Linked DNA regions of Mytilus edulis. The protein of the gene in region 1 purifies or fractionates together with the protein of each later gene. This does not show direct contact. Links are inferred from orthologs where the notes say so. Each region holds a gene or a part of one and is shown in the gene's direction. Other genes may lie near its edges.

The links.
Region 2: the proteins of ATP-dependent RNA helicase A-like (region 1) and endoribonuclease Dicer-like purify together in Homo sapiens (co-immunoprecipitation; 3 studies listed by BioGRID and IntAct, with this or other methods). This does not show direct contact. The link is inferred for Mytilus edulis from reciprocal best matches to the Homo sapiens genes DHX9 and DICER1.
Region 3: the proteins of ATP-dependent RNA helicase A-like (region 1) and interleukin enhancer-binding factor 2 homolog fractionate together in Homo sapiens (co-fractionation; 5 studies listed by BioGRID and IntAct, with this or other methods). This does not show direct contact. The link is inferred for Mytilus edulis from reciprocal best matches to the Homo sapiens genes DHX9 and ILF2.
Region 4: the proteins of ATP-dependent RNA helicase A-like (region 1) and nuclear RNA export factor 1-like purify together in Homo sapiens (co-immunoprecipitation; 4 studies listed by BioGRID and IntAct, with this or other methods). This does not show direct contact. The link is inferred for Mytilus edulis from reciprocal best matches to the Homo sapiens genes DHX9 and NXF1.

The regions. Positions count from the first base shown.
Region 1 is NC_092345.1:50,208,136-50,215,334, reverse strand, and holds the start of ATP-dependent RNA helicase A-like, read left to right. Parts: upstream 1-4,196; 5' UTR 4,197-4,248; exon of another isoform or gene 4,249-4,300; intron 4,301-6,527; coding exon 6,528-6,638; intron 6,639-7,199. UniProt on the Homo sapiens protein: Multifunctional ATP-dependent nucleic acid helicase that unwinds DNA and RNA in a 3' to 5' direction and that plays important roles in many processes, such as DNA replication, transcriptional activation, post-transcriptional RNA regulation, mRNA translation and RNA-mediated gene silencing.
Region 2 is NC_092346.1:84,422,056-84,429,946, forward strand, and holds the start of endoribonuclease Dicer-like, read left to right. Parts: upstream 1-4,889; 5' UTR 4,890-5,025; intron 5,026-7,891. Other genes in the region: alpha-ketoglutarate-dependent dioxygenase alkB homolog 6-like, read right to left, coding at 4,784-4,810. UniProt on the Homo sapiens protein: Double-stranded RNA (dsRNA) endoribonuclease playing a central role in short dsRNA-mediated post-transcriptional gene silencing.
Region 3 is NC_092354.1:77,015,006-77,022,816, forward strand, and holds the start of interleukin enhancer-binding factor 2 homolog, read left to right. Parts: upstream 1-4,809; 5' UTR 4,810-4,906; coding exon 4,907-4,911; intron 4,912-6,647; coding exon 6,648-6,713; intron 6,714-7,476; coding exon 7,477-7,519; intron 7,520-7,811. Other genes in the region: RNA guanine-N7 methyltransferase activating subunit-like, read right to left, coding at 402-598. UniProt on the Homo sapiens protein: Chromatin-interacting protein that forms a stable heterodimer with interleukin enhancer-binding factor 3/ILF3 and plays a role in several biological processes including transcription, innate immunity or cell growth.
Region 4 is NC_092346.1:23,919,883-23,927,111, forward strand, and holds the start of nuclear RNA export factor 1-like, read left to right. Parts: upstream 1-4,227; 5' UTR 4,228-4,338; coding exon 4,339-4,390; intron 4,391-6,291; coding exon 6,292-6,417; intron 6,418-7,229.

The DNA.
Region 1 (7,199 bases):
TAAAGTCGAAGGCTCGACAAAAAATAATAATACGATGCAACACTATCCTTCCAGTAAAAGCATTTTTATTTTGACTTTCTTTGCATTTTACTCAAGAGTGTGTCACTTCAATATAGCGAAATCTGGTTGGTCGCTGGAATATGCATGAATTTATTATTAACGATTTCAATCAGCCTTAATTTTTGTGTCTGCTCAAAGTAGCATGTTCTCAAATCCGATTGAACGTGTCTTTCTAATACAACACAGGGTACATATATAACGTGTTGTCGTTTTCATATGCACATGACATTTGTCACTGGACGTTTAGGTGGTACCCAACACTACAGGGAGATAACTCTGTAAAGTCAGTGATACGTTTTAATTACGTTGTGTTGTAAAGGGAATAATAAGCTTCTCGAAGATCAAAATTGGTGTTTGTCAAACTGCTATATAACCAGTTAATTTTTCTGACAAAACGGTTGGTTCAAATTTTTTGAAATTTTTATATTTCTGTTAAAGGTTCAAATTAAATACTTGTCAAAATTTTATCCAAATTAAACGAACCACATTGATTTCAGTGAAAGTGTTCGGTACCACCTTAATCCTAATTCCTCAGCATCATCCAATTGTTTTTTTTCTTGTATTACTTAATCATCTGTTGTTTACAAATCATTCTAAAGAAGTAAATGGAAAGAATCGAATGCAGCTACATTTGGTTGTATTAGAATTTAATTCATTTTATTCCGTTTAGTTCCCTTTCTACATATGTGCAGAGGAGAACTGCAGGTGTCCACATGTAAGCGTCAAGCATTTGTCACCAATATGAGTACATCGCAATCCGTTACTGTTTCAACACCCAGGGGGTTTCATGTCTTTATTCTTAAACAAATTGTTTTCTTCTCTTTTTTAGCAATGCATCACTCTCTACTGTCCTTATCTTTTATTTTGTATTCTGTATCTCCATCCAGATTCTCGTGTATACCATGAGGGTACGGATTGGGGGGTGTTGTTTATTTCTGTATTCTTTAAATAGTTTTGTTACTTTTCTCTACATTTTATTTATCTTACCCATTATTCTTTCTCTATTCTTTATATTTAGGCATCCCAATATACTGATGTTTAGTTACATTACGACGTTAATCTCTGATTTATATACTGGTTACCAATGTAGATGACAAATTGGTGTCATTCATGACAATTAAACAGAATCCACATGATATATGCGACCATTTTCGGATAAAAACAATTTTACTTTAATTTAACACTTTTTGAAACCATTTTTATCAATTTTCAATATCCATTGCCTACATTGTTATTGTTCATGTGTTTTGTTCCGTATATTTTATATTCCATTGCTCATGTTTTGTTTCCGTATATATTTTATGTTCCATTGCTCAAGTGTTGTTTCCGTATATTTTAGCCGCTTGTCTTGAGCCTACCAAATGAACACACCATAAAGTAATAAAATTATACTTTTATTGTCATTCATAACTCTTAACAGACTAATTAACAGACCGGGTTTTATACATCCGACCCATTAACAGACCAGGTTTTTAATAAAGATTGATTTATGTCACCAAAATACAGATTTTCGTGTAGATTTTTCACAAAATGATATCAATTTGGTTGACACTCATAATGCCTGTCTTTTTTCGATGTTCAAAATAGTGCATGCAAGTAAATTCAACCCAAATGTCATTTTGTGTACATTTTGTGTGTGTAAAATGTGTATAAATTTACTGATGAGTAATTTGCCTTTTCATTTTATAGATCGTACATAGAAGCTAGAAAAATAATAATTACACCACAGGATTCAGTACATTGAATAGTTTTGTCAGACATAAATATTTTTTATGATAAACATATATTTAAAAGGTTATACAATGAAACATTCTGAGTTTTCAATGATTTTCTCGATAACACCTGATTAACAGACTTTAGCCAACCCGATTAACAGACTCACTGCCGATATAGCCGCATACTCAATATAGATTAACCGACCAATCTCTCGGTTAGCCGAGTGTCGGCCGTGATACTAGCGTCGATTTTTGTTTTCCTTTTTTGTTTTCCTTTTTTTTTTTTTTTTTTTTTTTTTTAAAGTTATCGTTAGTGTTATCCAGATCATCTGCTATGATGGAAACTTGGGAACTACGCTTATAGTGTCTAAATCAGTTGACAACTTTAAAATATTTTAGTTCCAAATTTTCTGTTAAAAAGTGTGGGATTGTGAAAAAATCACCTTCATCTATTTTTTTTTACTGTATCAAGATTTTGTTCATGGGCGACTGGACTGGTATACGGGCGTTTTTCAATAAAACTGAATTTCAGACACAAAAAAAAATGGAAAATCAACTTGTTTAAAATTTTATTTCGAGAGTTATTTTGAATACCTCTATTGTAGACCTGTTTGTATATAAAAAGTGCAATCTTAAATACTCTTTAAAATGATATTATTTTCTTAATTTATGTACTGTTCCGTAGGGGACTTTTGTCCACTACGAAACTGCTTCTAAACGCACATCTTACTGCACTTTAATGTCTTCTATAGACATTCCAGTTTGTTTTACTTTATATACTAGAAAGATCTAATTTTTGTCTGAATTGGAAAACCATTTTTTATCGATAAAGATTAGACAGTACTTCACATATGAAGGTACAACTCATGTTACGTAGTGGACATTTTGATGAGTTTCGTAGTTGACAAACCCGTTTCGTAGTTGACAAAAATTTCGTAGTTCACATCAACCCTATTCTATGTTGATAAAAACATACTGAAAATTACATGAAACTAACTCTTGTTATTTGTTTTGCGCGAAATAATTGAAAAAAAGAGTAAAAAAAAGACTGCATGGTAGTGGTAGTGTCCACTGCGAAATATAGATTCCACAACTATTTCTCCACTCGAGACAGTTAAATTTTAATATTTAAAGGGCGAGGCTTGTCGAGCTTTTGAAATAATTAAAATTTAACTGTTGAGAGTAGAGAAATATCGTAATACACGAGTAATTACAGTGGTGGAATCTGTTTCTCTTATGATTTTTATCCTCCCTTTTCAAAGATTTGAGAAAAGTTGTGTACTTTTGGTGTGACGTCATCAGGCACGGTCACCTTTTTTCATTTTTTTTATTTTGACATAAATTCAGTGTAAGAATTAAGTTTCTAGGGACAACATCAAAAGACCAATGTGCATGATAAAGCAAAAACGGAATTCACATAGTTAAGTCTGTGGCTGCTGTTTTTTTTAAAACTCATGATCAAGTTCACAACAAAACTACAGTCCTAGATTACAAAAAGAAATGCAACACTAACAGAATACAGAAGGGCAATCAATGAACAAAAGACAAATAAATACATGAAATAAGAAACATTGATCCCGACAAATCAGGGCTACGTCTGAGGAAAAACAGAACTTGCTTTTTGCAAGGGACTCGCCGTGAACACAATTTGATATGGAGACAAGTGTTTGGTTTTGAAATTTCCTACATGAGGCATTTGCCTCAATGTAGTTAGGCATTTGCCTCAATGTAGTTACGGCCCAGTTAAAATAAAAGTGAGGCAAGGTTTCCTGAGACAATTTACCTCAAGTTAAATGAAACCAATTTTCAGACATTTCACATGTTTCAAGTATATTTGAATAATATTTATACTTTTATTATTAAAAAATTGGGAAGAGTTTCCCGATTTTTTTTGGGGAAAAGATGAATTTATGAAGAATCTGGTGCCATCTCATACTTTCGATTAGACCTGCTGAGTTATTTATTTTTGATTGCAAGTCAGGTATTTTATTTTCAAACTACCACAGAACAAACCATTTATTTTTGTGATTATCAAGGCCAAGTTATTTATTTTCAAAATCCTCCTGCCCCCTCCCCCCCCCCCAGAATATCAAATGGTCGTCCCCTTAATTTAAATATTAAAATTTTAATAAGATTGCAAAAGTTCAAGCTGCCGGGGCAGCGGCGAGATTAGCGATAATGTGTATTGATTATGGACTTTCCCAATTGATCTTCCTCTAAGTTCAGTATTTTTGTGATTTTACTTTTTGAAAAACGACCATATGCATGCCTCTTTTAAATTTTTAATAATTAAATATTTTTTAATCCGCATTAATATTATTATTGTTGTTGTGTTGTTGTTGTTGAGCACTTATATCCAAAGGAGTTCCAGAGAACTGATATGGGTCGACGGTTTTGATCGAATAGTGGCGAAAGGAATTTGGGTCGAATAAAGGTAGATCTGCTGAAAGAGTTGACGTCCCCGTAAACAAGAGTAGGTGCTCTGCTAAATGAAACTGCTTTACATCTAATGAAGGCATTCTAAGGTCATATGACATTGTTTGAATATGTGGTATTTAGCCGCAGTGTTTTTGTAAATATATAAATGCCAAGGAGGATGACTGGTTACAAACAGTTGTACGCATTCGTTTGCAAGAGAAAGTCTGGTTTCCCCAGTAAATTATTTTAAAACTCAAGTTTAATCTTAATATTCATCATTGATCATCGTGAATATCTTAGTTTAATAAATTATTTTATATAAAGCTTGCTAACCAGACAAAGGTAACTGCCAATCATGCTAATAACTGAATACCACAGGCACTTGTTTCTATCCATAGGAAGGTCGACTATCCATATATATAAACAGATAAATAGATGGATAGTCGACCTTCCTATGGATAGAAACAAGTGCCTGTGCTGAATACACCTCATCACTATTTCAGGGGGGTTCTGATTCCAGATTACTCTTATTGTTTTGTCAGATTCCCGTATCCCGCTTTAATAGTCTTTATGTACCGTGTAATTCTTGTTTTTTTGTAATTTCCTGTGTCCCGCTAGACTTTATTTCCCGTTTTCACAGCACAATAATTTTACTCTCAAGTGTCACGCTTACAAAAAAATGGCAATCCTGTGTCACACTTAGACCACAATGACTGAATGAGACCCACTTTCAGTATTTGGAAATATATGTGCTGGTTTACCTGAGAATAGCTCGAACTATTGACGTCATACAACAATCAATTATCAATTATCCATTGTGGCATCAGATATTTTGTATTATGATGTCAAAATTTTATGTAAACTTTTGTGATGTCCTGTAATAATGCGGACTAATAGGGATAAAGTCACATGCACTTGCCTTAAGATAAGGTGTATAAGGTACATTTGTATCTTCATTTTACACTTTGGGGTATTTAGCTGAATTTGCCCTCAGAATGACCCTAGCTGGATCTTGTCAGTCTTTAGTAAATAACCATCTGAGGTCATGCAAAAATCACTTTAATTAGGCCGTTCATGGGACATATTATGGTATACCATTAAAAATGAATTGTCTATCAGTCTGTTCGTCCTCAACTGGTTAAAAAAGTTGTATCTTGTACTGCACAGAATATATTGGAAATTAAATCTAATAAGTTGGTCACCCTCGCTTCAGTCATAAGGAAATTAAGATTACCTACTTACGAAACATAAATCATGTAAATTATTTCTAGACTGTAGCTTCCATGCAGAATTACAATGTATGATTGTGAAATTGCTTGAAACTTTAATAGCGCAGGGATACAGGCTCGCCTTAATCTTCTATCTGGTACATTTGTAAATGACATCATAAAGGTATGCAATATTTATCATGGAGGACATGACTCCAGAAATGATGTATAACTAAAAATGTCTGTAATATGTAGATGGTCTATATATTAATTATGAGTTAAATTGTGATGACCAATTTGGCTGAAACTTACTTGTAACTTGATTTGAAGTAATCATTACTAATGACAGGTGTAAATGAATTACATTAAGACCTCAAAAGTGCTACTATAGTCTCTTTAATATATTCATTTGGTATATAAGTAAGTCTGTTCAATTCGTTGCAATAAGGTGAAATGAAGGCACTTACTTGAAAAACCAAATTACTGTCCATAATCATATAGGAAACAATTGATAACCATGGATAACTGTCATTTTGTTCAACTTGGATGACATTTTTTATCAAACCTTAAGGTGTTACATTTTAATTAAGACTAATCATGCTAATGTGTGTGTCAATTTCTAATCCTTAAAATTTCCTCCAAATATTTTTTTATACTTCAAAGTTGGAAGTACTTAAAATTATGTGTCAAAATACTTTTAATTGCAATGCTGACCAATGTTTTCTTTATCCAGTATAACATGTTCAAGTCAGTTTGTTAACAAATATTATCATGATTATGTTGATGAAATGATGACTTACTGGGGGCATGGAGGAACGATTGAGTAATGCATATAATTTTCTAAAGGTTACTAACTTGTGTACACCTGATGACTACAATAACATAAATAAACAGTGCCGTGTAGTGGTGAGGGATGGGTATTGGACGAAGAATCTGCTTTATGGATATATGTCTATTTGAGTCTTTAAAAATGCTGGTATGAACAAACAATACATTTGCAAGTATATATATACATGTATACATTACATTGTACATAATCTAGCAATTATGCAGAGAACAAATTTATTACGATTATAATAAACAGTGGTATTTTTCATAGATCTATTATTTTATGATTTTTTTGTAGATGGGTGACGTTAAACAGTTTTTATATGCTTGGTGTGGGAAAAGAAAGGTCACACCATGTTATGAGTTTGGCCAGACAGGATCAAAACATAAACCAAGGTTTAAATGTGAGGTATGTCAATATTTTGGAATTTATTAATGCATGTAAAACATTACAGCTCCTTTCCTAGCTCACCTGACCTATTACATGTTTTACAGGTAAGGAGTTGGCATAATTAGTCATTTTAGTAATCATAATCAGACTTCCACAGTAATCGATCACATTGCTTTAATGACTTATTTAGAGTTTACATCTAATTTCCATTATCAGATACTAAGCAATTTACAAATGAACATTGAAAAACAGTTTGTTTAAGTAGCATCTAGTGTGAAATTTCAAGGTTCTGTGGCAGCAAAGTATTTGACATGGATTTAAAAATGATTTGAAAAATGTTGGACGATTTTTGAATCCCTGTCAGATATTTTTGCAGATACTGATATCATGGAAATGGTTGTAGTAAAAAAGTGTTAAAAATTGACAAACATATGCCTATTGTAATTGTATATAATTTGTTTACCTGAATGACGTCTTATTTATTACCCACTATAGGGTACATGCCTATCACACAGTCATCTACATTTGACCTTTCATTGCAATGCTTTGTTTTAAAATCATATGTTTGGAATTTATGTG
Region 2 (7,891 bases), on another chromosome or scaffold:
GGACGGACGGACAAACAGACGGACGGACGAACAGACGCACAGACCAGAAAACATAATGCCCCTCTACTATCGTAGGTGGGGCATAAAAAAATGCATTATACTGTAACTTCAGAAATTATTGTGATGTTTTTATTATTGCGAAAAATGCAACAGGGTAATCATTGCAATAATTAACCAGATGCTCCGCAGGGCGCAGCTTTATACGACCGCATAGGTTGAACCCTGAACGGTTGGGGCAAGTATGGACACAACATTCAAGCTGGATTCAGCTCTAAATTTGGATTGTGATTAAATAGTTGACACAGCATAGGTTTTGGACACAGAATGAATGGGGTCTAATGAACTTAAAATATTTTTTTTGTCTTTGAGCAATCACTATGCTGTTGAATATTAATCCTCTCAAAAAAATGTTTGAAGAAATTTTCTTTTTATTTATGAAATCTGAAATGAGAAAAATAAACCCCCCCCCCCCCCACCATTTTTTTTTCACATCCCCCTTTCCCTTTTTTCAAAACTGATCTCAATTCAAATTTCTAATGGAGTTTGCAACAATAACTACTCATTTAAATACATAATAAAATATTAAAATGTAACAAAAAGTGCTTGTTATCACTGAATGGTAAAGAGTGTTTTAATTTATCAGTTGGTAGTAAAAGTGAATATACATTGTGCATTGTATAAAACAATGATTTAAGTTGATTCAACTACTATTCTGGACAAAGAAAGATAACTCCAATCAATTGAATATTTCTTGCTATTGCACAATATTGTGCAATTTGATATTTCTTGCTATTGCGCAATACTGTGCAATTGAAAATATTTGCTATTGCACAATACTGTGCAATTGAAGATTTCTTGCTATTGCACAATACTGTGCAATTGAACATTTTTTTCTATTGCACAATACTGTGCAATTGAAGATTTCTTGCTATTGCTGAATACTGTGCAATTGAAAATTTCTTGCTATTGCACAATTTTTGATATAATAATTTTGGATCCTGATTTGAACCAACTTGAAAACTGGGCCCATTATCAAAAATCTAAGTACATGATTAAATTCAGCATATCAAAAAAGCCAAAGAATTCAATTTTTATTAAAATCAAACTTAGTTTAATTTTGGACCCTTTGGTATTTAATGTAGACCAATTTGAAAACGGGACTAAAAATTAAGAATCTACATACACAGTTAGATTTGGCATATCAAAGAACCCCAATTATTCAATTTTTGATGAAATCAAACAACTTCTCTTGAACTGAATTTTAATGTGCGTATTGATATGCGTTTACTTTTCTACATTGGTTAGAGGTATAGGGGGAGGGTTGAGATCTCACAAACATGTTTAACCCCGCCGCATTTTTGCGCCTGTCCCAAGTCAGGAGCCTCTGGCCTTTGTTAGTCTTGTATTATTTTAATTTTAGTTTCTTGTGTACAATTTGGAAATTAGTTCATTATCACTGGACTAGTATATATTTGTTTAGGGGCCAGCTGAAGGACGCCTCCGGGTGCGGGAATTTCTCGCTACATTGAAGACCTGTTGGTGACCCTCTGCTGTTGTTTTTTATTTGGTCGGGTTGTTGTCTCTTTGACACATTCCCCATTTCCATTCTCAATTTAAAGTTTAATTTTGGACCCCGATTTGGACCAACTTGAAAACTGGGCCAATAATCAAAAATCTAAGTACATTTTTAGATTCAGAATATCAAAGAACCCCAAGGATTCATTTTTTGTTAAAATCAAACTAAGTTTAATTTTGGACCCTTTGGACCTTAATGTAGACCAATTGGAAAACGGGACCAAAAATTAAGAATCTACATACACAGTTAGATCCGGCATATCAAAGAACCCCAACTATTCAATTTTTGATGAAATCAAACAAAGTTCAATTTTGGACCCTTTGGGCACCTTATTCCTAAAAACCTGTTGGGACCAAAACTCCCAAAATCAAACCCAACCTTCCTTTTATGGTCATAAACCTTGTGTTTAAATTTCAAAGATTTCTATTTACTTATACTAAAGTTATGGTGCGAAAACCAAGAATAATGCTTACTTGGGCCCCTTTTTGGCCCCTAATTCCTAAACTGTTCAGACCTCAACTCCCAAAATCAATCCCAACCTTCCTTTTGTAGTCATAAACCTTGTGTTTAAATTTCATTGATTTCTATTTACTTATACTAAAGTTATTGTGCGAAAACCAAGAATAATGCTTATTTGGGCCCTTTTTGGCCCCTAATTCCTAAACTGTTTGAACTAAAACTCCCAAAATCAATCCGAACCTTCCGTTTGTGGTCATAAACCTTGTGTCAAAATTTCATAGATTTCTATTTACTTAAACTAAAGTTATAGTGCGAAAACCAAGAAAATGCTTATTTGGGCCCTTTTTGGCCCCTAATTCCTAAAATTTTGGGACCAAAACTCCCAAAATCAATCCCAACCTTCCTTTTGTGGTTATAAACCTTGTGTTAAAATTTCATAGATTTCTATTCACTTTTACTAAAGTTAGAGTGAGAAAACTAAAAGTAATCGGACGACGCAAGACGCAAGACGCAAGACGACGCAGGATGATGACGCCAACGTGATAGCAATATACGAAGAAAAAATTTTAATTTTTGCGGTCGTATAAAAATTGCATTTTGAAATTTTTTATATGAATCAAATAGGATTTTTCTGAATATCGCAAAAATTAAAATTGCATTTTGGTCTAAAATTGCAAAATCCCAATAATGAATGCACGCAATAATTTCTAAATTTACAGTAGTAAGTAAGTACAACAAATGTAAGTTAGTAAGTAATTTTTATTGAACATTGGACTTTCTGTTTCATCAGTGAACATATACAAACATGTGTTTACACATTAGAACGAAATTATATGTGTGGTTTTTATTTAAAGTGTGTTCATTAAAAGTGATTTTCATTAAATCATGATACTGACATGACTGATGAAGAACTTAAACATTTGTTAAAACAAAGAGGGGATTGTTAAGGTTTTTATTTATCACCAAGAATATGTTTTTAAACAAGAGTGCACACACTGAAATGTCTCGCCTTCTTTAATTATCTTTGATATTATGTCCTAAATATAAAGCTTTACTACAACTATCACATAAACTTAACATGATCCAAGAAAATGAGGTCAAGGTCATATAAACCAAACTAGAAATACATGTATGTACACCTTACAATCATTCAAATTCAATACACTTTTAAATATAGTTGACCTATTGCTTATAGTTTCTACGAAACAGACTTTTAAAAGCAAGAAAAATAAATATTGAGCAATGAACCATGAAGATGAGGTCAAGGTCAGATGAACCATGCCAGGCAGACATGTACAGCTTACAATTCTTCCATACAACAAATACAGTTGACCTATTACTTACAGTTTAAGAAAAACAGACCAAAACACAAAAACTTAACAATGAACACTGAAAATGAGGTCAAGGTCAAATAACACCTGCGAGACTGACATGTACATCATAAAATAGTTCCATACACCAAATATAGTTGACCTATTGCATATACATTTAGTATTAGAAAAATCAAGACCAAAACTCAAAAACTTAACTTTGACCACTGAACCATGAAAATAAGGTCAAGGTCAGATGACACCTGCTAGCTAGAAATAAACACATTACAATCATTCAATACACCAAATATAGTAGACCTATTGCATACAGTATAAGAAAAATAGACCAAAACAAAAACTTAACTATAACCACTGAACCTTAAAAATGAGGTCAAGGTCAGATGACTCTTGCCGGTTGGACATGTACACCTTACAGTCTACCCATAAATGATAAAATCGAATATATTAGACCTCTTACTTATAGTATCTGAGATATGGACTTCACCACCAAAACTTCACCTTGTTCACCGATCCATGAAATGAGGTCGAGGTGAAGTGAAAACTGTCTGACTGACATGAGGACCTTGCAAGGTATGCACATACCGAACATAGTTATCCTTTTACTCATAATAAGAGAGAAATAAACGTTACAAAAAATCGTAACTTTTTTTTTCAAGTAGTCACTGAACCATGAAAATGAGGTCAAGGACAATTCACATGTGACAGACAGAAACTCTGTAACATGAGGCATCTATATACAAAGTATGAAGCATCCAGGTCTTCCACCTTCTAAAATATAAAGCTTTTAAGAAGTTAGCTACCGCTGCTGCCGTAGTAGCCTCCGCCGCCTGATCACTATCCCTAAGTCAAGCTTTCTGCCATAAAAGTCGTAGGCTTGACAAAAATGTGATACTGTTAAAACAACAAATAATCAACTATATTAGACCACTATCCAGGTCGTTGTATTTCCGCAAAAAAAAAACCATTGCCAGTTTGGTTTAGGTGAACATCATTCATGTGTTCAAGGGCATTATCCCTTCCTTCCCATATTGAGGGAGCATTTGAAAAAAAATGATATAATGCTGTATTGGACTTTTGCATTTATTCAGCAAATTAAATAAATTCTAGTAATTGATACTCTGGCTGAGAACTGAAATTATAGTCGATATTTTGTTGTTTTAACATTATCCAATTTTTATTTAGACAGTATAGCTAAATTTTTATTTTTTAATTTTTTTAATTAAATTTTTAATTTTTTATTTAATGTCAATGCCAAATATTATGGCAATGGCAAAATTTTGACTTTATGATAAAAAAAAATCCCTCAAAATTGAAACCTTTTTTTATTTTATGTTTAGAAATTAAGATCAAAACCTTATTTTTTAAGAAACATCAAGTAGCTGGCCTGTGGCTAAATTATCAAAAAATAGATAATTACTTCTGTCACAAGATTCTTTGTATCCATCTCCTCAGTGGGTTTTGGCTGTTAGAATTTCTGTAAATATGATAAGTCAAGGATTTTCATTGGCTTATTTTAGAAATCTGTCCAATTAAAATCACTCTTTCACTTTGACGATTTTCCGGCAAATGAAGAAACAAATGTGAAAACATTTCAAAAATAAGCATCTGCAATTTATGATTGTGATGCGGACGTAGGCGCATTCCCATCACTATATAAAGGTCTTTATAAGAAAATATGTATTTTCTTTTTTTTGGCAAAATTTAAACATTGCATGCAGTAAATAATTTAAGAAAAAAAAGAAAAAAATGCCCCCCCCCTTTTTTATCCAAATATTGGTTTTATGATTATCCAGATCATTAAACAACAAAAATTATTAGAAATTTAAGATTAGGATACTACCTAAGAAATTACTCAAACAAAATCAATTTAAATATAGATCCCAAGTGTGAATGGGGTCAATTACTGAATTACTTCAATTAGAAACTGGGGGACATTATTTACTATTTTGTGAAAATTATGAAGAGGCTAGACAGAAACAGAAAACTTATACATGAGATTTTCTTTAACACGGATCGTTTCATTTTGATTTAGAACTTTTATTGTTAACCCTTTCAACGCTACACAAAAAAATAGAAAAATGGCTGCTGCTGCTGCATTTTTTTTTAGTACATTCATTAGAACAGTATTTTCCTTTTCAGACTGCTGTATCTTTTTTATTATATGAGATACAGAGAAAGTTATTGCATGAAAAATGCTCAGGAGAGCATGAACTGTAATGTTAGGCAATTATTTTACTGAAATTTTTATCAGGTTACCTGCGTTTTCAGGTAATTAACAGGTAAAAGGTGTAATTTATTACATTTGTGTTGAATTTTGAATAAAAACTACTTTTAGTCTTCATTTATTTTGTTGTTTTATCTGCCATATTGTAAAGAAGACACCAGTTGCCCGATTCCGTAGCGTATTGTACCATACATAACGTTTTATGTAATCGTGGCACAAATAAATAGCTCCGTCCTAAAAAATTTCAGTCAACCTCCGTTTCCCCCCCTTTTTCTACGTCTCGTAATGATCTATCAAATCATATTTCCCACACGAATTTTATGTAATAAACACAATGAGATAACAAGAAACCTTTTAACTAATCCTCGTTGTAAGTTTCGCCAAGGAAATGCTGAAATTTTTCCATATTTACAGCTTCGTTTCCGATTTCCGCCATTTGCATTTGTCAAAATATTTGTTTTTATTTTCCTTCTATTTTCCTTCTACTGCATGATTTTACTATAAAAATTGTCGGGATTTCAAGCGCAAATGAGACCTTGCATATCCTAGATTCAAACGAGGAAAAATTAGAGAGAACCCGAATGAAAACCGAATGGTTTAAGAGTCCTTATGAAAAATCCTTTTTCATCGCGGCATATGCCGCGAATAGCAGTGGCGAACGGCGTACGTCATCGCGGCATATGCCGTGTATAGCGTTGAAAGGGTTAATAGAAAAAAAACAACAACTACTCCGTCTCTAATGAAACACTAATATCAGTCATGCGATTATAGGGTGACTTTATTTGTGAGATGCGCTGTTTTGATAAAGAAACATTTTTGTCGAGCCTTCGACTTTAGTCGAAAAAGCGAGACATAGCGATCCTTCATTCCGTCAGCGTCGTCGTCGTCATCGGCGGCGTCCACATATATTCACTCTGTGGTTAAAGTTTTTGAAATTTTAATAACTTTCTTAAACTATCCTTGAATTGTATGAAACTTGGACAGAAGCTTGTTTATGTTCATAAGATAGTACCCAGAAGTAAATTTTGTAAAAATAAAATTCCATTTTTTCCGTATTTTACTTATAAATGGACTTAGTTTTTTCTGCCAAACATTACATTCACTCTGTTAATGTCTGTGGTTAAAGTTTTAAAATTTTTAATAACTTTCTTAAACTATCCTGGAAATGTACAAAACTTGGCCAGAAGCTTGTTTATGATCAGGATATAGTATCCAGAAGTAAATTTTGTAAAAATAAAATTCCATTTTTTCCGTATTTTTCTTATAAATGGACTTAGTTTTTTCTGCCAGGAAACATTAAATTCACTCTGGTTAAAGTTTTTAAAATTTTAATAACTTTCTTAAACTATCCTGGAATTGTAAGAAACTTGGCCAGAAGCTTGTTTATGATCAGAAGATAGTATCCAGAAGTAAATTTTGTAAAAATAAAATTCCCTTTTTCCCGTATTTTACTTATAGATGGACTTAGTTTTAAACATTTTTAAGTTTCTTAAACTAGCCTGGATTTTTACCAAACTTGGATAGAAGCTTCTGACAATCAAAAGATAGTATTGAGAGGAATAATTTTATTGATTTTTTTCATCATTTTTGATGAGTGTGTGATTAACAGCAAAAGTAGGCGAGACACTGGGTTCCGCGGAATTGTCTTTTTATGTTAAATATATTTTTTTAGCAAACAAGCTTTTGATTTACCTAAACACTTAAATTATTTAATAGTACTTTATTATATTAGATAAATGATAAACTGTCAATTGTATACTTTTATCATATTCAGAAAATACCATACCTGCCAACCCTCCCGTTTTGAGCGGGAGACTCCCACTCAGATGGCGAAAATCGGGAAATCTCCCGCTTGCCGATACCCTCCCGCTGTCATAGCTGTGGGAGATAGATCTCCCTCTTTGAAAGTTTAAGAGGTTGGCAGGTATGGAAAATACTATTGTTAATAAAATTTTCAATGCTTCAATGTTCTAGAACTCCTACATGTATAATGACAAAACTAAAGATATTTGTACAGAATTTATGATAGTCATATATCTTTTCAGTTGTTGTTATAAATAGTTGTTTAAACAAAGAATTTATAATCAGTGCTTGCAAAATAACAGGAATCTTTTAAACTTAGTTTATGAAAGTTTCTTTCATGTACACAATGAATCAAAGACATTCTTTAATCATTGAAAGGGGAAGACATCTTTATATTCCAAGAAAAAATACTTAAAGGTACTGTCCAATCTGTAGTATTCCTTCATTCTCTACTGTACATAATAGTGGAATCGACGTCCAAATCTGACGTTACATTCT
Region 3 (7,811 bases), on another chromosome or scaffold:
TGTTTCACGTTTTGTCAATAAATTATACATGTTATATGGTCCAATCAAAGTCTGTTTTAGCTAACTATACAGTATATACTTAACATGCTTAATGCTCAATTATGAAGGCTGTACAGTGATCTATAATTTCTTTAATCAGCTTCATTTGGAAAGGTGTTCATACCACCATTGTTTTTTCCCTATTAGTATTAAATTTGCACTTATTTGTATTAAAAAAATTGTGCAGAATTTTTATCTTTTTCCAACAACTGTCAAATTCAAATACCGCTTTTTGTATGCAACTGGATATGACGTACTATGATTTGGTAGTGCATTATTTTAAAGCTACTGTTGTCTCATTCATGTCATTGGCAATCATATCACATCTCTTTGGTTGAATGTAATGGAACCTAATCTGGTACCTGTTCCAGTTTCCTCTTTGCTGCCTGACAAACCAGTTTTTGATGCATGGTGGGTCAGGTAAAGGGGTTGACACTGTCTTCATGTAATCCTCATCATTCTCTGTGTATCTGTCTTTAAACATTTCCTCCAGCTCCTGGACTTTCCTCTCTATTTCTGTCATACTTGGTGATGAATCCAGGGAAGGTTCATCTGCCATTGTGTTTATATAAATGTTCTTTGGATCAATCTTACATGCTGTCTGAAATACACAAATTTAAAAAAAGTTCATTGTTTTTTTAATTTAAATTTATAAATTAAATTTCATAACTAAAAAGTAATTAATTTATAACTTAAATCATCATTTATTGTTAATATTTTGTCATGTTCATAGATGTTTGTATCTGCATTTTCAGCTATTTTAGGTGGGAGTAAGACTGGTTGATGGCTTACCATCCAGACAAATGCACAGTCCTTACAGTATCTAAAAAAAAACAACATTTTAAACATGACTATATCCTGCACAATCACAAATTTGAACTAGTCACTTAAGCTAATTGTCTGGGCATTACGCTATGTAACAAGCAAACTTAAAATGGTCAAAACACACAGACAACATCATAGCTAATCGGTAACAAATCTTTGGGCTTCTTTAAAAGAAATTTTAAAACATCATCCCAGAATATCAAAACCCACGCATATCTGGCACTAGTTCGTCTTAGCTTGAATTTTCCTGTTCAGTATGGGACACTCACACAGTTGAACAAACCTCTAAAATTGAGATTGTTCAAAGACAAGCTGCAAGAAATGTACGTCTGTAACAGGTACCATAACATTTGTAGTCCTACAGACATGATAAACTCACTAAACTGACCCACACTACAGGAAAGAAGATTATGCACAAGATTGTTCATCAAAATAGTACATCAAATCATAGCAATCCCATCTGCTATCCTCATACCATCAGACAGTATAACCTGCAAAAATCATAGTTTCACTTTCAGACATATTTCTACCAAAAAAGATACATATAAATTTTCATTTTTTCCGTACATCATTAATCAGTGGAATTATCTACCATCCATACAGTTGTTGTGACCACAGTCCACACATTCAGAGTACAGCTTACACCAACTGTTCTCCACAAATTTATTTAACTCATCATAAGCCTATGTACATAGTTTTAATCACAATTTAAAATTATTTTTACACACTCCAAATTCATTTTCAATTATTTTTGTGCTTTGTAAATATACATGTATATCATGTATATATAGGCCACGCAGCGCAAAACAGTATATAATCTTCAGATAATGAAGGACTAACGAAAATCTAAAGAAGAAGAAATATAGTAGACTTATTGCATACAGTATACATGGTATAAGAAAAACAGACCAAAAAACAAAAACTTTACTGTAACCTAATCAATGAAAATGAGGTCAAGGTCAGATGACACCTGCCAGTAATGGACATGTACCCCTAACAATCCTTCCATAAACCAAATGTACTATTGACCTATTGCTTATAGTATCTGAGATATGGACCATAATTTGCTATTGGGCTCCGTTTCCTATAACTATAGAAAAGTGATAAAATGTGAATTACTGTAAGAAAAGTTGTAACTACATCTAAAGATGCCATTATTTTTATCAACATACAAGTGTATGCTACTCTTCCCTAGAAAAAAAATTGAAATATACGAATTTCAAAGATTCTACAACCGTATTTTTGTGTCGTTTCTCACGTTATTTTTTGCTTCCGAAGAGCATAACGCGGACTGATTTATAGATAATCGTCACCGGCAAATTCGTAACTTTTGCTTTCAAATAACAAAGAACATCGACCAATAAGAATAGTGAGAAGAAAATGCCGAGAACTATAAGTATTTATGTAGCAGATGTAAGAACAGTGGCGTGATTTTTGTGTCCGATTTCGTAACGCAAATTTTAGATGATGTAATCTGCTTTGTTGTAATAGAATTCTTAAAAACAATATGCAAATATGAACTCTCGCAAGATGTTCAAACAGGTAAATCAGAGTTGATTTACATTCTTGTTTTGATCTTCGTAATAATTAAGTAAGAAAATGACGTTAGCGTTATGCGTTACATTTCACACGAAACAGAAGTCCAGTTATTTATTAAAATTGTTTTTGTCCTTAAGTTCTAATCATTTCCGGTCATACGTGAAACATGTGACTAACATGTGATAACGCCATTACGGCCGGATGTACGAAATACTAGGTCTAAACATTGTTTTTGTTTCCAACGGGATGTTAGCAAACATAATCTGTAGACTTGTTTCGTCTTGTTTAAAAGAGGAAAATACAATTGTCAAAGAGATTGCGCCGGTGGTCTGTTATTTTTCCTATGTGCATAATGTTACATACGATCCTGTGTGAAAATAAATGCCCAATGACTTGACAAAATCGATTTAATATTTGACAGACGTTAGAACACACTTCGTTTCCCGATAATGACGTGAAGAGTCCTTGGAAAAATCAATCGAAATTACGTCTCTTATCATTGTACCAATGCTCGTTGGATTGATTTAACTTCAGCAGTAAATATTACTGGATATTTTAGGTGAATAAATATAATTTAATAAAAAATACATGTTAATATACCGTTACACTTGGAATGTACAAAGTTGGCATCTTGTCACAGTTTTTAATTAATATTTTTTATTCATGTTCTGCAAACACTTATCAGAAACGCAATAAACTTGTCAAAGGAGAAGTAAACTTTTACCATGCATGACTTGAAAGGAAGTACTTTATTGATTTTAGCCCACTAAAGTAGGTTAAAATGTGGAAACCATGTAGATGGTGTACAGGTCACAAGTATCACATTGTGCCTATTTTAAAGATTTTAATTCCAAGTTAAAAGGTTTTTTCTTTACTGGATTTAAAGAATGTTACATTGCCAATGATTTGGAATAAATTGTATATAACTGGAATTTCAAAACCAAATATAAATACATTTTTTTGGCTAAAACATCAAGAAACAACGATTATGGTATCCTGTATCAATGAAGAAAATATGGAAATTCCTGAATAAATTGTACTTATTGTTTTGAAAACAAGCACATATTTAGGAGTTTTATAATACTGTTAAATTTAAGATGGATTTTAAGAAAAAGTATACGGTTCAGATTATTTTAAGCAGATTTTGCAATAAAATAAAACTAAAAAAATGCTTTCGGTTTCTTATGGTTTCCTGTCACATTTAAAAAAAACTTTAATATAACATTGAAAATAGATTTTAAATATTAACATGAAGCAAGTAACACTAGTAATGGTGTTTATTTATGCCTTTTGAATTATATTGTGCAAAATAAAGATAATAAAGATTGGTTTCCTGTTTGGTTTCCTGTCACATAAACGGTGAATCAAAATGTATTAATTTTTTCTCGAAAAACTCAATTGTTCCGTTCATACTATTCCAACACCAACACAACCCACAAAATAAAAGTTAAAATTTTAGACCTTATAAAAAAGGATACAAAAAGAAACCAAAGGCCGAATACCAAATTATGGTCCATATGGATTAGTCCAAATAATTATGACATCTTGCATGGCTTTTTTTTCATGAACGCCTTCTGTCTACAAGATAAGGACACGAAGGATACAAAACTTAACCTTGTTCACTGATCCATGAAATGAGGTCGAGGTCAAGTGAACTCTGACCGACGGGCATGAGGAGTGACGGACCTTGCAAGGTACACACATGTATACCAAATATAGTTATCCTATTAAACATAATAAGAGAGAAATTAACATAACAAAAAATCAGAGCTTTTTTTCCCTGAAGTACATGTAGTCACTAAACCATGAAAATGAGGTCAAGGACAATGGACATGTGACAGACAAAAACTTTGTAACCTACAAAAAAGTAAGGCATCTATATAGCTTATACAAAGTATGAAGCATCAATGTCTTCCACCTCCTATAAATGAAATCTTTTTAAGAGTTAGCTAACGCCATGAATGCTGCCGCCTGATGACTATTACTATGTCGAGCTTTCAGCGACAATAGGACTGTTGCTAGTACAAGTCACCAGGAAGGCGGAACAGCAAAATCAAAAATAGCCTTTCTAGACAGCATGATTTATAAATTTGGACTAGACTGTTGCCGAATTTTTTTTTATATCAGTGCCAAAACGTCCTGCATCGGTTTAACGGTTTGGTTGATGTCACAATGACGCATATGCAATATCCCTTCTCTTCATGTTCGTGCTCTGATGGGTTTACTTGACTGTTTGTTTTTCTTCCATAATCACCTAAATTTACCTTTTCTATTGTATTCTAACACCTTTTCTGCTGTTTATTGTATTCTAACACCTTTTCTGCTGTTTATTTTTTTTTAACCCACGAGTGAAAAACAACCGGAAATTGAATATGGTGTGTAAAATCGTGTTCGGACGGAGGAAGGAAGGTTTTCCGGGAAACCATGGAAAAATGTTCTTTCACGCGTGCGTTGCATTCACCAACATCCGGACGTAAACAACGTGAGCCGGCATTCAAAAACAATGAGGTTTATGTCTTTTAGTATTTGATTAAGCTGATATTTATGTACAGAAAACATTACCAATATTCGTCAGTTCTTGAAAAAAACCTTTTGGCAACAGAACAATTCGTACTGTTCTTTGCATTTTCCTTTCAACAACAACATAATTTTCAAGTCTGAGACAATCACATTTATGATCATTTGTCATGTTTGTAAATGAGAGCCAGATAATTTTACCTCTATTGTCACAGGGTAATATGGCCACTTAATCTTTGTAAATAGGGCGTTGAATATGTGACAAAATACAATGTTGCAAACCATTTATTTCACACTGAAAGTAGGGAAAAAGTTAGGTGTCCCTTATGTAGCGTGCATGCTAAAGTGTGTGAAACTCGCATTAGTACCTGTTCACCGTATATATAGTGCTAGAAAAAGTGGCGGGGTTGTATGCATAATAACTTTGTGCAGAGTAGTATATAGAATAAAGTCTTTTTCTAACTGTCCATCAATGAATGAATGTATGAATGAATGTAGTAAATATATAGTACACACAACATATAGTGTAGTACTAGTATATAACTGTTCTCTAATAAATAGCTACGGTGACACTATAATTTTTTGTAATGCACAAATGGGATTCAATTTCAGAACACCTGACACAGTAAACAACAGTAAATTACTCTTGTCTCTGAAGCGAAGTGAAGAGTATGAACATGACTGTCATTAGTCTGAGATTACTCTGACGTCCAACGGCTGTTTTGCCAGACAAGCTGAGACCGTGGGATGTCAGAGCTTGTCCCATATCAAAAAGTGGATATTTGCCCACCCAAAATAGATGTGCTGCTTTGTCACTTCTGGTGCCGACTGACAGCCTTGGAATTATATAAATCGGCCATCATTCATTTTTCATTTATTTTTTCATTTATGTAAGTTTCACCTACCTGCCAACCTTTATTTTTCCATATTTTAACAGTTTTCACAGAGACCTATCGATTTCTGAACTTTGACTAAGGTGTTACAGGGTTTCTTCAAATATATAACAACAAAAGACTATTGTTTTACCAAGATTTACACAAACTAAAATATAATTTTTTTGAAAATCTCTTTTTATTGTTGATGAAAATCACATCATAAGCATTTGTGTTAAGGTTCATGTGGACCAGTCTGTTACCCAAATTATCAAAATTTTCTATTGATAAAATTCAAATGCATTGTATGTTTCGAAAATTAAAAATTCAACTTTTTTACAGTGCATTTTTATTCGTCCCTGCATCAGATGATAAAATTAACAAACTGTCAAGTTTCACTTGATCTGGTCCACTCAGGTACACAGTTTAAATCACAAATTATTGTCAAGTATCTATTGGCTACATGTATCTCTTGTCCATGTCAATCAATTCAGTTCACTTCAATAATTACCTATGGAGAGATCTCAAAACCTCTTTCTGCCTTGTTCAAGCATTTTTTATGATAATTGACTCCTTTTAGACAAATACTCGCAAGGAATACAGATTTGATGCACCTGTATTTAATTACGTACACAAATATGTTGAAGGATATTTTTTGATTAGTGGATCTAGTTTTTAATTGTAAATTCAGATACATTTGTATTCTAAAGTTGTACATGACATACATGACAGAGTGCTGAATTTATGCAAGCAGTGTGTATGTAGAAATAAAAATTTTAGCAGGATGTTTTTTTTTTATTAATGAAGATGAAATTAAGATTGAACAATGTTAATTAAATTTGATATATATTTTAGACACATGAGAGGAAGAGGAGGACCAATGAGAGGTGGTATGATGAGGCCCATGGGACCAAGACCACCGTAAGTATACAATGGTCATTATTGAGGTACTTGTATGATACACTATATATATATAGCTAGATGTAAACTTTTTATGAAATTAATTTGAAGTACATGTGGTCCTATCTGTCAAAATCAGAATCTAAAGGTCAAGCACCTTCTACTCTAGCAAAAATCTCTTGGAAGAAAACAAGGTACCAAAATATAAACTGAAATCCATCTTTGTTTGTTACAGAGCCAAAATATAATACAATTTCACTTTTTCCACCACCCTGACTATATGGAAAGCCCACACCAGAGGTGGATACTGGAAAATCTGTGACCTTTGGTTGATATGTAGAAGAGGCCAGAAGAAATTTAAAAGTTTTGTTTAAAGTGGGAAGAATAATTATAAAAAGTATTCATTAGTTTCATCAGGAATACGGAGTGAAATTCTAGATACAGATAAAGGATTTATATTTTATTTGTCAATGAATTTACCATTCAAGACAGCAACTGAAAACAACACTCAAAAAGTGAAACCTGTCTTGATGTCAATAACGATACATTCCTAAACAAAAGACAGATGTCTAAACAATAGTTTTGTTGTACATGTATCTATTTTTAAATGCATAACTAAAACTCATGATGAAATTCAATTTTATAAGCATACATAATTGTATGTTTCAATTTGAAACAAGTGCACATATTTTTGAACATGTTTAGTTCTGAATGAATTCTTTTCAAATGAAAATATATTATTCATAAATTTACAAAGGGATAAAATATTTCTTTCTTTTTACAGATTCAGAGCCTTCATACCACATATTCCATTTGATCTAGTTCAGGTAAAGGTCCACACAATAATAAGTGACTGTTTATCATGTAGATCTATAAAAGGACTTACAAGAGAACAAAATACAGTCTTATAGATTAACATATATATATATGTCTATACAAATTACAATATTTAAACTTACTATTCTATGTAAAATGCCAATACATTTCACAACAGACAGAGTCAAAAATATGCCAATAGAAATACACTCTAGTATCAAAATAGCAGAAAGCTTTAAGATATGACAGACCACAACTTCTAATGAAGTTTTTGACTTTATAAGCACTTGAAAATTTGATAGT
Region 4 (7,229 bases), on another chromosome or scaffold:
ATACACAAGTCAGAGTTTTTACCATTTTGACATATTGTTTTTAAATGTTAACAACGACGACCGTAAGAGCATACGATACAGTTTTGATTCCATATTGAAATTTTGATGAACATTTGCATATAGGCTATTTTTTGCCTGATTAAATCAAATATGTAATAAAAAAAAATGTATACCTTCATGTATTACTTTTTGAGTAAAATAAGGTCCAAATTTTATATTCGGATTTGTGGACGTATTTATCCTTTCGACAGAAATACATAACCTTTTAGTTTTAAAGGATAAACACAAGCTGTTTTTTGTTAAATCATTTGTAAATTCTGTTTTATATAAATGTCCTTTAATTTTGTGCAATTTGTTTTTCAAATAACTCATATTTATTAAATGTTCACGAATGTAGAAAAAAACGTCTACTTTGGCTGCATATTTATCAAATTTAAAAAAAAATGCACTATTTACGTTTACATGAAAATTGGCACACATAATCTTCTTACGTAATCAAACCAAATGGCATTTTAAAAAAGAGGCGTCCAAGAACTCGTTTACAAGTTAGATAAGATTGAATGATAAAAATCAGTCGAAAACTAAATCTTTTCTCGATAAGTCATAGTTTGACGTCTCGAAAATAACAATTTACGTTAGCAACGTCATCCCCCCCCCCCCCCCCCCCCCCCCTGGTAACTGTATCGTTTGCCCTTAGCTGATTGATGGTTGGTTGTTTAAGTATTGCTTTTAATTATATACTATGTAACAAAATTGTTGATAGAACATAAAAAACAAGATATAGTAAGATTGCCACTGTGAAAAAACTCTACACAAGAGACCAAATGACACATAGATAACAATTAAACTATAGGTAACATTACGGCGTTCAACAATGAACAAAACCCATATGATAGAATGTCTGTATGATTTCATTTTATTTCCTCTAGTGAAAGTCTTATCTGATAACAATAAACCTTATATTACTCTGGAAGCAGTGTCGCACCTCTACTTTCCTTTTAAAGAAAAGGTATTTAGAATACTCAGATAGAGTATGACAAAAAGAGTATGAATCAAATATAATGATATTAACGTGCTTATTAGTAATTTCTGAATTGTGGACGCTATTCTAAATATCTTTTTTAAAATAATAACACATATTATGCATCGTAACATTACCTTCATTTCAATCCTTGTTAAAAAAAAAATTGCCTTGAGAAAATGCTTCGACATTTTTACTGGATGATGCTAAATTTGAATTTGAATACCGACCAGAATCATAAACTCAGAAAGACAGCATTATGAGTTGGATACAAGGCGAAGTTTGCATCTAAACTCATATTACTGTAAACCATTAAAAAAGTTCATGCATAAAAAATCTAATCACTTGATGACGAAACGTATCAAAATACCATGGTGTAGTACTTCGCAAATTAAAAGATATGTTTGCATGATCAAATTCAGAACACTATACATGTTTTAGTACATGGTACCATTATATTTCAGTACCGTTGAGATGCAACCTCCTTGCCAACTATTACTAAAGTGGAATGTTGTATTCTCGAATGATTGTCAGACCGTAGTAATATATAACGCCTTTTTTTCACAACAACATTTTATCTTATAAAAGCTGCTTATCATCTTCCCAGTACTAATATCATCTATATCTGGATATAATCTTCGGAATAATTACCGTTTCAATGGGATCATTTAATTAGTACGCTAGAACGTACAAACAATTTCATTTTTTCCGAATACAATATAGCAATGGAATGTCACCCATGAATCAAAACTCTGCAAACTGAGAGGAGTATCTGACATTCTGGGGAGTAGGATTTTTCTAGATTGGTCTTTACATTCATCTGTTGCTACATGCATATAATGCTTATTTTTCCAGCGGCTTTTGTATACGCCTGTATTTTGTGTTGCACAATATTTATTTTCATCATATCTAAAGTTGTGCAAAACTATTTATTTTCAGTTCTAACAAGTTATTTTCAAAATCCTCACCCCCTGGTAAAATGAATTGATCGTCCCCTCATGTCATACCTTTCTTTCAAGCGAAGAACATCGGAATGGGAATCTGTATCTGTATGGGTAAAGTATGGGTATGCATGGGCTTTATTACTTAGGGGTGCGGATACCGCAAATCATGAGTCCTGAGTGCAGCTATATATATATTGCTTGAAGCTTTTGGTTGACTTGACTGCAGTCACATTGCTATATAAAAGATTGTTCCAGCTAGTCGACAGCAGTTCTGATGAAACATGAGCTTTTAAATTGGTGGTTTGATGGATCTTTACTGTTTGTGTTGATGCGGGATTTAACATCTTTCCACAATTTAGTCTTGGATTTTTTGGGGGTTTGTTTTGGCATCTTTTAGTTTTGGATAATGTAGAAGTCGGCATCAATGATACCTGACCATCAACCACCCTGTAGATAATTATTTACCTGTCATTTTTGTGATGCATCCATCATCTCTTGATTTGTAGTCATTATTGATAAAACGCGCCGCCCTTCTTTTTACAATTTATAGCTGGTCATAATTATGCAGATTGCTCCATATTTCAAAATCTAACTAGGGATTTGCATTTGTTTTCCGTCGTTCTTTTAAGCAATGTTGTAAATCAAAAAATCAAAAATGTTAAAGATAAAGAATATGTTTGTCTTGACATAAAACTGCTTATATTTCTTTTAGATATTTAAAAAATACATGATAGCCGATATAAAAGATCATTATGCCGGGGAAATACTTTACTTTACCTTTGCATTCCATCATCGCAAATCAAACTTGTGACCCTTAAGTGCCATAGCGTTATGGACGATGAACGACTCAAGGCGATTAAAAATCTTTGATCAAAGAGAAACATATAAAGTTAAGGCGTTAGACATGACAGTCTTCATCAGAAAAAAACCTTCAGCATAACTTCGGAATAACATCTCAATGTCATCCGCTGTACACTTGTCTCCTTATGGTGAAATTTTGTAATGTTAGCCTTAGCTTGTATCTTCCGATGAGTTTTATTCACTTATTTGGCTTTATTACTTTTTTTTATCTGAGCGTCACTGCTGAGTCTTATCATGTAGACGAAACGCACGTTTGGTGCATTAAATTATAAGTCTGGTAACTTTGATAACTTTTAGCATGTACTATTGTATTGTTTATTTGTAACGTATATTTCTGCGTTCTAAATGATCTAAGATATAGGAAGATGTGGTATGAGTGCAAATGAGACAACTCTCCATCCAAGTAACAATTTATAAAAGTAAATCATTATAGGTCAAGGTACGGCCTTCAACATGGAGCCTTGACTCACACCAAACAGCAGCTATAAAGGGCCTCAAAAATTACTAGTATATAACCATTAATGAAATATTTTCCATTTCAATTCAATATTTATTGGAAAGAGCACAATAGAGGCGTGATCCAAATACAGACAATAGCATTATTAAAACAACATATAAATGAAATATAGATGCATGTAACAACAAGTTGTAATTTAAGTAAATTCTATGGGTACCATAACATTCTAAGTATATTATATGAATACCATTACATTTTAAACTGATATTGATACCATACACATCCCGATTATTCAAAATTTTCATAATTTTACTTTAATAATCACACAATCACCAGGGGCGGATGCAGGAATTTTCGAAAGGGGGGGTGCTAACCTAGGGCACCCAGGGCAAAGGGGGGGGGGGTGCAAAACATATGTCCTGATACAAATGCATTGATCGGCAAAAATAAAGGGGGGGTGCGCACCCCCGGACCCCCCCCCTTGGATCCGCCACTGATCACCTATAAAAGATAAATGTGTAAATGCATAAACTACTATAAAGGATAATTATTATTTTCTGATGAAACAGTATGGTGGTTTCTCAAATTAAGAGCTTCATTAATGTACATACAATTAGATTTTAGTTCTTTTTCAGACATAGGACTTTTCAAATATATTTTAATAATTCGGATATAAATATATTAGACCATGAATTTTCTCTTTTTGTGAGAGTTTTGTCCACTTCAAAAGCAGCCTTGAGAATTTCACCAGACCTTTCACCAATATCACTGAGACGCACATAGTATTTATACACAAGTTGATAACATTTAATGCTTATGGGTAATGTGACCATTTCGCATCGAACTGCTAGATTGGAAGACTTTCCATGAACCCCAAGTATGTTTTTAAATATGGAGTTTTTTCTAAAATATTTAAGATACGGAATTAAATCCGTCATTGCGTCAAGTTTATTGATTCTACGCATCAATCAATGACGTAAACAGCAAGCACATTTTCTAACCATACGGCAATTTTTTCCTAGGACTGCTAAAAAAGAAACTGAAACAGATTAATTATGAGCCAGTTTAAAGTTACCACAAGTCGTGATGGCAGACGTGTATTTGGAGGTTTTTATTATTATCTAGCTAAATATCTTTGACTTTCAAGGCCAATGGTTTTATAATTATACACGGTTAAAAGAATTTGTGCACATATTTTCAGAAAACATTGTTTGGGCACAGGGGCTTGTTTAGTGGCCTGTGGTTTGGGTTATGCTTATGGTTAGGGACATTATTATATATTTCGATTAAATATGTTAACTTATAGACTGTGTCCATATCGGGGACTTTATATGTATAACGTAACGGTACCCAAATTGCACCGAGTACCCAAATTGCACCTATAATAATTTTAGCAAAACTAGCAGCGAAAATCTTACAAGATTTTCTAGAGACTAAACAATTTGTTTTTTTTATGATTTGATACTAAGCACATCTTTCAACATAGGTAAAACTATTTAGATATGCACAAAACGTTCACAGTATCTATCAACAGATGAAGTATTTACTGAAAAAGCAAAATGTACTGAAACGTCGCGTCATCAAAACGTCATCTTTTTAAAATGAACAAATACAATATGTTACAAGTATCCATTTAAAAAATAATGAAGAGTAAGCTTGGACTAATGTCCAATTGTTCAAAATATTTAAAGAAATTAAACAAAAGCTCTGTTATTAGACTTTTGACTATGTGAATTAAAGCATGGAAGCAATTTGGGTACTCCTCATTTCAGAATCATTGATGGTTTGGAGGTCAGTTTAGACCAATTTTTCTATGATTCCATATGGAATAAAAATCAAATTGGTGTACCTTTATAATAAAGAAAGATAGGGCTACAAAATAAACACAGAATGGACATTTTTGTTTTCATGATAAAAAAACGTAGATGAAAAAACTGTCAAAATAGGTGCAATTTGGGTACCGTCACGTTATATGTAAAAGGTATCATGAAGTGTAGTCATCCATGTAGAGTGTAAAGGGCCTTTAACTTAATTAAAGTACTCAGTAGTGAAATGTACATCTTCGCTAGCCAAGGGTTACGATCCACTCTCGCTCTCTGGAGTGGATCGTAACCCTTGGCTAGCGAAGATGTGAAATGTAGTGCCAGCGTCTATTAGAATAAAAATAATTTACCCCAGAGCTCCAGATAAGCTGCGTATTTGCGTGATCACGCAATACAAATAATTAAAAACCAATGCAATTGCCCATTGCAGGGGATAATATAGTTATCAATGTGCTGATGGATTGTCGTATGATGTAGATATAGTTCTTAAACCCAATTCATCCAAAGGAAAACCCAATTATATGCGAAAACCTTGAGTTCTTCACACTTTTATTCGTTTTCGTATGCGTTATTTACCCTGAGCTGATTACAGTCGTCTGCGTAAATCTATTTTTATAATATTTATAATTTGAAATATCCTTTCGTTCTAAAAATAGAGCGTTGTGCATCAAGTAGTGCCTGTTGGAATTTTCCGTTGCTCAAATGGTACACATGTTTATGAAAACATTTCAATCTTCTTGGCATTTATCCAATTAGCGTTTGTCATGTTGTCATATTCTTTCTGGAATTGCTCAGGATTTATCAAGTTAATGTCCGGTAAAATGAATAAAAGCATGTTTTCATCTTCTTTTTGATAGCTGAGGGAAAGTTATGATGATAACAAGACTCAGCTAGTGTTTTTAGGAAACTGTCATTCAAATGCACGGTCGTGTTTGCGTACCTTAACAATCCGATAAACCGGGGGTTATGTCGAGAACATTCAGATGTAGGTCTACATAATATTTGATATATTTTATCATGTTTATATCAAATCTATTAAAATTGAAAAAAAATCCATTTAACTGGTTAGCATTTTTGGGTATTTGATATTCGGTCCTAGACAACACTATGCTGAATAGAATGTACTCAAAGCAATGGAGGCTGGAAGTGGGACTTCTGATATAACTTTGATATTTTGTTATTTAGACCACGATGACCGATGGACAGACAATGGCAGAGGAGGTCATGGTGGTGGACAAAGATCTTTTGGAAAACGAGGTGGAAGGAAGAATTATGGGGGCTTTAATAGAGGAAGTGGTTACAACAGAGGTGGTATGTTGTCTTTAATTTTAACATTGGTGAAATTTTAATATTCCAAGAATGAAGTTTTATAAGATTTGTTACCCTTATGTACATGTATCAAGACTTCTAATTATGATTTCAAGTTTGTTTTGATTATTTGTATGCCCCACCTACGATAGTAGAGGGGCATTATGTTTTCTGGTCTGTATGTCAATTGGTCCTGCTTCAGGTTAAAGCTTTTGGTCAAGGTAGTTTTTGATGAAGTTGAAGTCCAATCAACTTGAAACTTAGGCCTTAAAAAAAAAGATATGTGTTTCCGATAACATCATTTTAAAAAATAGGGTCGGTAGGTCGGAATTCTTTTTTTTTTTTTGTTTTTTTTTTTTTTTTGACATCGTAAATGAAATCCGGAAAATTATCATGGTTTTTCCAAGTCCAGATCCGTAATTAGTTTCAAAAACCGGAAGTGTGCCATTTGCAATGTTTTTGAAGCACCTGTTGTGCAAATTTCTTGGATTTTAACCTATTTGGAATACCTTTTGACATTAATAAAATGTTTTACTGGCTTTCTATGCAAGAGGAAGCAAGAGAGAAAAAATATTATGTCATCTATCAGAAGCCTGTGTCAAAAACAGGGTCGGTTGATAAATTTTTTTTTTTTTTTTTGGAAGATCCAATAAAAAAGTTAGGGTCGGGGCTAAAAAACAGGGTCGGTCGGGTTACCGGAAACACAGGTCTTTTTTTTCTCGGCCTTAGTACACATAGATATAGGAAGATGTGGTGTGAGTGCCAATGAGACAACTCTCCATCCAAATAACAATTTAAAACACATGTTCCTTATG